Linked DNA regions of Saccharomyces cerevisiae S288C. The gene in region 1 interacts genetically with each later gene. Each region holds a gene or a part of one and is shown on either strand. Other genes may lie near its edges.

The links. A genetic interaction does not mean that the proteins touch.
Region 2: mutations in NMD2 (region 1) and ENB1 together harm fitness more than expected from each alone (negative genetic interaction), as found in Saccharomyces cerevisiae (2 studies listed by BioGRID).

What each region holds. Positions count from the first base shown.
Region 1 is NC_001140.6:251,849-257,685, reverse strand, and holds NMD2 (Nmd2p), read left to right. Parts: upstream 1-1,929; coding exon 1,930-1,935; intron 1,936-2,048; coding exon 2,049-5,312; downstream 5,313-5,837. Other genes in the region: YHR078W (uncharacterized protein), read right to left, coding at 1-1,326; type 2C protein phosphatase PTC7, read right to left, coding at 5,461-5,837. UniProt on the Saccharomyces cerevisiae protein: Involved in nonsense-mediated decay of mRNAs containing premature stop codons. It interacts, via its C-terminus, with NAM7/UPF1.
Region 2 is NC_001147.6:18,991-23,154, forward strand, and holds ENB1 (Enb1p), read right to left. Parts: upstream 2,322-4,164; coding exon 501-2,321; downstream 1-500. Other genes in the region: oligo-1,6-glucosidase IMA2, read right to left, coding at 3,535-4,164.

The sequences.
Region 1 (5,837 bases):
AGCAGTGTCATCATTCTGCATGGCGAAAAGTGCAAGAATCTGGAACTTTATGGGCAAAAGGGTCACAACGTAGGAGATGGTGGTATTGACAGCAGAAAGACAGCAAAGAAAGAGAGAAATTGACAAAAATAACGATATCTGTTTTGTTAACGAATCGAGATCGTGCTGGTAATTGAACCTGAAAAACGAAAAATCCAAAATATTTGCTATCGTAATGGCTAAAGGATCGGATGCTGCATTTTCACTAAAATTTTCATAATCGTAGTCATCTGGATATTTGAGCGAGTGGTATATGATATAGGGGATTCTTTTCAGGAAAGTTATTATTAGTTTATGAAGACAGTATATGATAAACCCGACTTCAAAAGCTTTCTTAAAAGTGCGTACCTGAGGGGACTGTTGTAATAATGCTTCCAATTTCCCAAGCTCCAGTTGATACCAGGCGATTTTTTCCATCAACTCTGCTTTAAAAGTTGAGTTTTCTCCGACCTCTTCTTCTAAACTTCTTAATATTTGTACATTTTGTTCAATGTTGTGTTCATAATCTTGGATTTTTTCCTCTATATAGGCGTCTGTTGTCCATAAGAGAGATTTACTGTTATTGTTGCTGTTGTTGATGTTTCTAAAACTGGGGTCTGACATTGGTGTATTACGAAACTTGTGCCAGATGACTAAAAAGTTGTAGTATAAACTAGAAACAGTGGCTAACCCAGATAGGGAAGCCATGACTGTGACGCCTCCGATGGACAATCTAGTTAGAATATTTTTTGTGTACTGGAACGGTCCAATATTTATGTAACTTAACAGCGCAATAAGTGTGGACAAGATTATGCATGTCACTATTATCAACCTATCGATATCGAACTTGTCATTGTAGAATTTATTCAGTAACGATATTATAATGAAAAAGGGCTGAAATAAAATTAGTATGAAGGATAGCATGATTGCAGTCAGAGGCCACACCCAAGTCGTTATGAAAGTAACTTCCTTGTCCATTCCAGCAACCTTAATCTGCCATAGAATAATCTCTATGGTTACTGTATACGTCATCATTGCTAATGAAAAAAGGACTCGCAGTGATTGCAGTACCTTATGTGAGGGTAAAGAATACTCTGTGTAGAATTTATTTATGAAATTACCCATACTAGACACATCCTCATTCGAGCCAACTTCCATTTTGCTTGCCAACGGAATGACATTTTTCTTCGAGGAAGTTGATATAATGTCAAACAAAGACCCTACTTTAAACCAGAGCCTTTCATAGGAGCATTTGTAAGCAAATGCTCCGGATACGGAAAGCACTATAAATACGATAAGTGCCTCCATCCCGTCCACCACTTAGTCTACACTCAATAGTCCTTTCTAGTGCAGGTCCTGGAGGCAACCGCCAGAGTTGAGATCTTTTCCTTTTCTTTCCCTGCTGGTCAATTTTTATTGTTCAGGACTCGGTCATCGCAGATATCGCAATTTTTCACTCGTTTGAGTCTAGACTGTAAAATAAAACCGAATGGTTAAGCTAAAATAGACTCTGTATGACTAAGTCGTTCACTAAAGTTCATTATTTCATGCCTGAATGACCTTTATCTTAATTATGCACCATCATATAGCGTTTCTATGATCACTACGGGATATTATGATATTGTTAGGGGGTTATATTGAATATTTCTTAGGGCATGAGGATGATATTAGGGTTATTAATAGGTTTACAATTATATAATTTATGTGATAATTATCACTTGATACGAATTGATGGAGCCTGCTTCTTTTTTTTTTTTTCACTTTCTTGGCAGTCACTGAAAAACTGCATTCGAATACAGGTTTGAGAAACTAATGAGGCCCATATTACTTTACAATGAACAGTAACAATCAACTTAAATGCTTAAATAATCTAATATTGTATCTGCATTGATAATACATTGGACAGAAATTATGGACGTATGTTTGATTTATCTTACTGTGGCCAGATCGGCCTTTCAGTACTTCTAAGGTTTTATACTAACTTCTTTTATTGATCGTTGTAAACTACGGTAACAATTATGTATCAACAGGATGGACGGAAAAAAGAATTGCATGATTTGAACACCCGAGCTTGGAATGGCGAAGAAGTCTTTCCCCTGAAAAGTAAAAAACTGGATTCCAGTATAAAGAGAAACACTGGCTTTATAAAAAAACTAAAGAAGGGTTTTGTGAAAGGTTCAGAATCTTCATTATTGAAAGATTTAAGTGAGGCGTCCTTGGAAAAGTACCTATCAGAGATAATAGTGACGGTAACAGAATGTCTGCTAAATGTTTTGAATAAAAATGATGACGTAATTGCCGCTGTTGAGATCATAAGTGGACTTCATCAAAGGTTCAATGGCCGATTTACTAGTCCGCTTTTAGGAGCTTTTTTACAAGCTTTTGAGAACCCCTCTGTTGACATTGAATCCGAAAGAGATGAGCTTCAAAGGATAACCAGAGTTAAAGGTAATCTTCGGGTATTTACCGAGCTTTATTTAGTTGGAGTTTTTAGAACATTGGATGATATTGAGTCGAAAGATGCTATTCCAAACTTCCTACAGAAGAAAACTGGGCGAAAGGATCCGTTGTTATTCAGTATTCTCAGAGAGATTCTTAATTATAAGTTCAAATTGGGCTTTACTACCACTATTGCGACCGCATTTATTAAGAAATTTGCACCTTTGTTTCGCGACGATGATAATTCTTGGGATGATTTAATATATGACTCGAAGTTAAAAGGTGCGTTACAGTCTCTGTTTAAGAATTTTATAGACGCCACTTTTGCGAGGGCCACAGAACTGCATAAGAAGGTCAATAAACTGCAAAGAGAACATCAGAAATGCCAAATAAGAACGGGAAAATTGAGAGATGAGTACGTAGAGGAGTACGACAAGTTACTTCCAATATTCATTAGGTTCAAGACATCTGCAATTACTTTGGGAGAATTTTTTAAGTTAGAAATTCCGGAGCTTGAAGGTGCCTCTAATGATGATCTGAAAGAAACAGCTTCTCCAATGATCACGAATCAGATATTGCCACCCAACCAACGATTATGGGAAAATGAAGATACAAGGAAATTTTATGAAATCTTACCAGATATCTCAAAAACAGTAGAAGAATCACAATCTTCTAAAACAGAAAAAGATTCAAACGTTAACTCAAAAAATATCAATCTATTCTTTACGGATTTGGAAATGGCAGATTGTAAAGATATAATCGATGACCTTTCAAATAGATATTGGTCATCATATTTGGACAACAAAGCCACAAGAAATCGAATATTGAAATTTTTCATGGAAACACAAGATTGGAGCAAACTGCCAGTGTATTCCAGATTTATTGCAACAAATAGCAAATATATGCCGGAAATTGTTTCTGAGTTTATTAACTACCTAGACAATGGCTTCAGGAGTCAATTACATTCTAATAAGATTAACGTTAAAAACATCATCTTCTTCAGTGAAATGATTAAATTTCAATTAATACCATCGTTTATGATTTTTCATAAGATTAGAACATTAATCATGTATATGCAAGTTCCAAATAACGTAGAAATTTTGACGGTTTTGTTGGAGCACTCAGGGAAATTTCTGCTAAATAAGCCAGAATATAAGGAATTAATGGAAAAAATGGTCCAACTAATCAAGGATAAAAAAAATGATAGGCAATTGAACATGAACATGAAAAGCGCCTTAGAAAACATAATTACTTTACTTTATCCCCCTTCTGTAAAATCATTAAATGTTACGGTAAAAACAATAACGCCTGAACAACAGTTTTATCGCATATTAATTAGAAGTGAACTAAGTAGCCTAGACTTCAAACACATTGTCAAGTTGGTTCGGAAAGCTCACTGGGACGATGTAGCTATTCAGAAAGTGCTGTTTTCTCTGTTTTCAAAACCACATAAGATTAGCTATCAAAATATTCCCTTATTAACAAAAGTTCTAGGCGGTCTATACAGTTACCGCCGCGATTTCGTCATCAGATGTATAGACCAAGTACTGGAAAACATTGAGCGAGGCTTAGAAATTAACGATTATGGACAAAACATGCATAGAATATCAAATGTCAGATACTTAACTGAAATATTCAACTTTGAAATGATAAAATCCGATGTTTTGTTAGATACTATCTACCACATTATTCGGTTTGGTCATATCAACAATCAACCCAATCCATTTTATTTAAACTACTCAGATCCACCGGATAATTATTTCAGGATTCAACTAGTCACTACAATTCTGTTAAATATCAACAGGACCCCTGCAGCTTTTACTAAGAAATGCAAACTTTTGCTGAGGTTTTTCGAGTATTATACTTTTATTAAAGAACAACCTTTACCCAAGGAAACAGAATTCAGAGTTTCAAGCACATTTAAAAAATATGAGAATATTTTCGGAAACACTAAATTTGAAAGGTCAGAAAATTTGGTAGAAAGTGCCTCAAGGTTGGAAAGTTTACTGAAATCATTAAACGCAATAAAAAGTAAAGACGACAGAGTGAAGGGATCTTCTGCAAGCATTCACAACGGTAAGGAGAGTGCTGTTCCTATCGAGTCAATCACCGAAGATGATGAGGATGAAGATGATGAAAACGACGATGGTGTCGATTTACTAGGAGAAGATGAAGACGCGGAGATAAGTACACCGAACACAGAGTCAGCGCCAGGAAAACATCAGGCAAAGCAAGACGAAAGTGAAGATGAAGACGATGAGGACGATGACGAGGATGATGACGATGACGATGACGATGATGATGATGATGGAGAAGAAGGCGATGAGGATGATGATGAAGATGATGATGATGAGGATGATGATGATGAAGAAGAAGAAGACAGCGACTCTGATTTGGAGTATGGTGGTGATCTTGACGCAGACAGAGATATTGAAATGAAACGAATGTATGAAGAGTACGAGAGAAAACTAAAGGATGAGGAAGAAAGGAAAGCGGAAGAAGAATTGGAAAGGCAATTTCAGAAAATGATGCAAGAATCCATAGACGCAAGGAAAAGCGAAAAGGTTGTTGCCAGTAAAATTCCAGTAATTTCGAAGCCAGTCAGCGTTCAAAAACCTTTATTATTAAAAAAGAGTGAAGAACCTTCTTCAAGCAAGGAGACCTACGAAGAGTTATCCAAGCCAAAGAAGATTGCATTTACGTTCTTGACTAAAAGCGGTAAGAAGACACAATCAAGAATTTTACAATTACCAACGGATGTGAAATTTGTCTCTGATGTCCTTGAAGAAGAAGAGAAACTAAAAACCGAGCGAAACAAGATTAAAAAGATTGTTTTAAAACGTTCTTTCGACTGAGATTCTTTTGCGAATATAGTTCTTTAAATTTTTACTATATATGCCCACTTATGTTTGGCTCTATTAAATGGCTACGTGTTTATATAGTACCGTTTATGACGCTGTATTTTTATTTACACTGCTTTCCAGGAGATTAAAGAGCGGAGTGTTAGTCAACTCTCACGACAACAACAGTTATATCGTCTTCTTTACCACCGCTGTAGTTTTTGCCAGTTAGCTTAGAAATCTCTTGCGCAAAAACACTGGGGTAATTGGGGTCCTTGCTTAAACTGACAACATTGTCCACAAACTTCTGGGATAATAGCTGTAACTCATCGTTTGTTCTCGCAGCGTTATCCTTCAGAAAAAGCTCAATATCATCTGTGGCAATATTATCGGTTACACCATCGGTAGCCAATATAATAATATCCTTTTTTTTCAATTGGAAGCTATATTCATCAGCGTCTCTGGGGGTGTTTAAAATATACTTGCTACCCCTTCTTTCGGCCTCTTTCAACATTTCTTCTGGAATGATTGACAATTGGT
Region 2 (4,164 bases), on another chromosome or scaffold:
TCATTCTTTCGAACTTTGAATATTTTTTATGACGTCAATTATAAGAAGTATGAAAGTCAGGTTAGCAACAGCTAAAACTAAATAATAAAGGGCTCAAGCAGGCTTACGGCAGGTGGTGATTATATTTACACTACTAATTTTTTTTAATTCGTTTACGCTCTAGTAAAAGTTCTTCGCAACATTTTTTTTTATATTTCTTTATAAAAACTACGGGAAATGACAGGTGCGAATAATCTCATTGATTTTTGTATTGTCAAGCCCATTTAAGACTATAATATTGCTGAAATAAACGTAACAAACGTATGGATATTCACTTAGTTAGAAAAGAAAAATAAAATAAAACTAATTCGAACTTTTTGTTGTTTTTTATTTCAGACAACAATATTATACTGTTACACGCCATTATTGATTACTACTTACATTAACAGTGATTATTTCAAAGAGAATTCTAGTTCAGGAAAGAGCTTAACACTATATTTGTATCGCTAGTACTCTCCAGCTCAATATCCAATTACACGACGGAGCCATGATTGTTGTTTGATTTTGAGCTTCTCTTTCTCTCGTTCTTCTGCGGAAAGACTTTGCTTCTTGTTTACAGTAAAGCCACGCAAGAAAAAACAGAGAACAGCATTGAAAGCCGCAAACGAAATGGACACAATTATCAATAAGCGTTGAATCTTCGAATAGGATTCTATCATCTGAACACGAACCTCTGATCCAATAGGGTATTTTTTTAGATAATTGAGTGGTGATTTGTAGATTGCCATCCCTAAACTAGAGCCGAGTCGCTGTATCAACTCCTTTGCCAGACGCTGAGTCCATATAGCACCAGCGATGGAAGCACCTACTGCGTCTCCGATTTGATAAACGGACATTAGTAACCCAGTGACAGTTGCCATCTCATTGTGGGTGGTTGAAGCGTGCACTAGCGTCCACATAGGAAAACGTATCATACCACCAGCTATACCGACCACAATCTCAGCGCCAATAAGACCCGAAATCCCGTCATATACCACCCTGTATTTGTACAAAAGACCCATTCCGATGACACCAAGAAGCGACCCAGCGACTACAAAGACTTTCGGATGAGGATAGAAATGCAGCATAATGCCGACAACAATATTAGTGCATGACTGTAGAAAATTGTAAAGCTGAGCTATCCGCTGCGCACTTAATGTTGATTCTCCGAATGCTACCATTAACACGGTGACCAAATACTCTAACTCAATCTGCAAACCTAGACGCCATACAAATTCCATTAGCAATGCAACGTAGATGGTTGGATCACCTAGATATACTCGTGGGATAAATGGATTCTTAGCAAATTTTAATTCCCAAATTAGAAAGATAAAACCTAAGCAGCCACCAACCACAATCATTGCAATAATGTGACCCTCTCTCCATTTGGAGGTGGCTCCACCAGCTATTGTGAGAGGTAATAATACTAAAACTAAGAAAGCAGTGAAAAGAATGACTCCAATTAAGTTTATGTCATCCGCAAATTTCCAGAGCGTTTGACGCAGGGTCTGTCCTTTTTCTTTCAATTTTAATGGTGGTAACTTACCGCTGCGCCAGGAAATGTACTGAGCATACACATAGGGAAGGACCAATATTAGGGTGGAGATGGGCACAATGATGCAAAAAATTCCATAGCCCCAACGCCATTTATATGGTGCAACATTACCAGCAACTGAGCTAACAATATTTCCACTTACCCATGTGTTTATAATCACGGGAATCAGAAATATGTTCATCGCAAATGTACGATCTCTCAATCCAGACAGATCACCAGTCAGTGCTGTAGCAAGAAGACGAAATCCAGAATAACCGAACTGTTGTATAACAATACCTGCAAAAAGTCCGGAAAACGTTGGAGTAGCAGCAGAAATAATTTCTCCAATAGTATAGAGCACAAGCGCAAAAATCCAGCATTCTATACGTCCAAACCGATCAGATATACGTGCGTATGGCACTGCGACAACAGAGGCTACTATTGATTTGACGGTATTGATCGATCCTACTTGAGAATGCTTTCCAAAACTGTTAGCGGCATAGGTTTGTATTGATTGCGAAATCTGCCCTCCGAGTCCAGTACAGTAACCCTGCAAAAACAGAGCCACCAGTAGGGCGGTCTTGAGTGAACTAAACGTAACTCCAAAAGCTGTGAAAGAGCTGTAGTCAGACAAGACCTTGTTGACAGCGTCTATACGGCGCAAGCCAGACGTGGTAGACTTCTCAACATTGCTATCTGTCTTTTCGCTGTAGCAGACAGTGCTTTTATCGTCTAAATTGTCATTCCTAGAGTGATCAGTTTCCAGCATTTTCAGAGAGACATTCACGAGCACTTTTTTGCTATATTAGAGTTCTGCTAGGACCCAAACCATCATTTCAATTAAATAAGTCATCTCTATTATCCAAACATAGACCCTTCGCCACTCAAAAGCCACAGAGGGGTGCAATTGTAAGCCGTGGCAGCCTCTATAATAGTATACATTTGTATCACATTTGGGTGCAATAATTTAAACAGATTTTTGCAGTTGACTCAGGACTAAGGGCAATTCTTGCCCAAACTACGGAACCCTGTTTCTGATCCGAAGGGCTTATAATCCATAGAAACCCTTACATTTGCTCACTGAAAACCCTGTGTCCTTATTTGGTATATATGATGCGAGGATTAAACGAAAACGGAAAATTTTAGGTTTGAGGGTCCCATTAGTTCAACTAAAAAAGAAAAACGAAAAAAAAAAAAAACAAAGTCAAACCATAAAAAGTTTTGAACTACAGAAAATGTAGGCTTGTCTATTCTCCTGAATTTGACTTTTTTTTTTTCTAACTTTTTCACACCCCTTCATTAACTAATTAAAACTGTCGTAGAATTTCCCTTCATTTTTATTCAGCCATCCTCAGTTAGGAACGATTGATACAGCCTTCATTCGTCATTTCGTGACTTGCATGTTGGATTGGAAAATTTGCTGGCGGAGCAAAGTCAAGACGTTCAGAGGGAATAGTAAATGAGATTGTACGAACCGGTGAATATATTTTGCTGGCTAGATTTTAAATGGCCATTGTGTTATTGCTCTATCAACATAAAAGAAAGTATATGTGTTTTCAGAATCGTAAAATTTGTGACAAACTAAAAATCAGTATCTTCATAAAAGTAGTAGAGACATTTCATAGGTACGTTCCGCCCTTAGATAAATGTGGCTGCAGTTCATAATGCAGTGTGTAGTAGAGATGATTCTGTTGATCATAAACAATAATATATAATTTCACTAGTACTTGTTCTTATATGCACATAACTCGCCGTATTATCTGGCCAAATGAGCTATAGAGTAACCCTTCTCTCAGCATTATTATAATACAATACCAATGCAAGGACATATGGAAAATGCTACACAAAACTATACTTTAGTGTATTACATAACTCATACCGCACTACCAGATATATGTCGTTACTATTTAAAGTGCGGTATGTAACATAGATAAAAATAAGTATATGTATATGTATAAAAATCTTGTCGTCACAATCATCAATCATTCAGATATGTAAATTCTGCCCTCCCATGGCTTCAATGTTCTGGAAGACGCATCAACTTCGCTTCTTGGGTAGTTTCCGAATTCCAACTTAAACGACGAGCTATTGTTTGGAATCGTGAAGTCAATCGAATCAGAGCTGAAGTTCAAAGCAGCAAACAATGTTTTGTTGTCGTATTTCTTTGTGAAGCTGAACAGTTTCTTATTGTCCAAATCAATAAACTCAAAATCATATCCATATACAGTAATATCCTTGTGTGCCTTTCTAAATCTCAAGGCCTCCTTCCAGAAGTTCAAAACCGAGTTGGGATCCTTGGATTCGTCTTCAGCGTTAATTCCTTCCCTGAAAGACTCGTTCAAGTAAAACCATGGTTTAGCATTAGGACCAGAAAAACCAGCATTTGGCTCCTCACGAGACCATTGCATAGGTGTTCTAGCATGGTCTCTGGAAATAAGGGCAATTGCTTCCAAAAACCTCTTCATCTCCTTCGAGTTTTCTCCATGCTCTTCCTTGATCGCATCATAGTTATTTCTAACTTCGACATCCTCGTATTTTTCGATAGGCCAGTTCTTGAAATTGATTTCACCCAGTTCCTGTCCTTGGTACACATATAGAGTACCGCTCAGTGA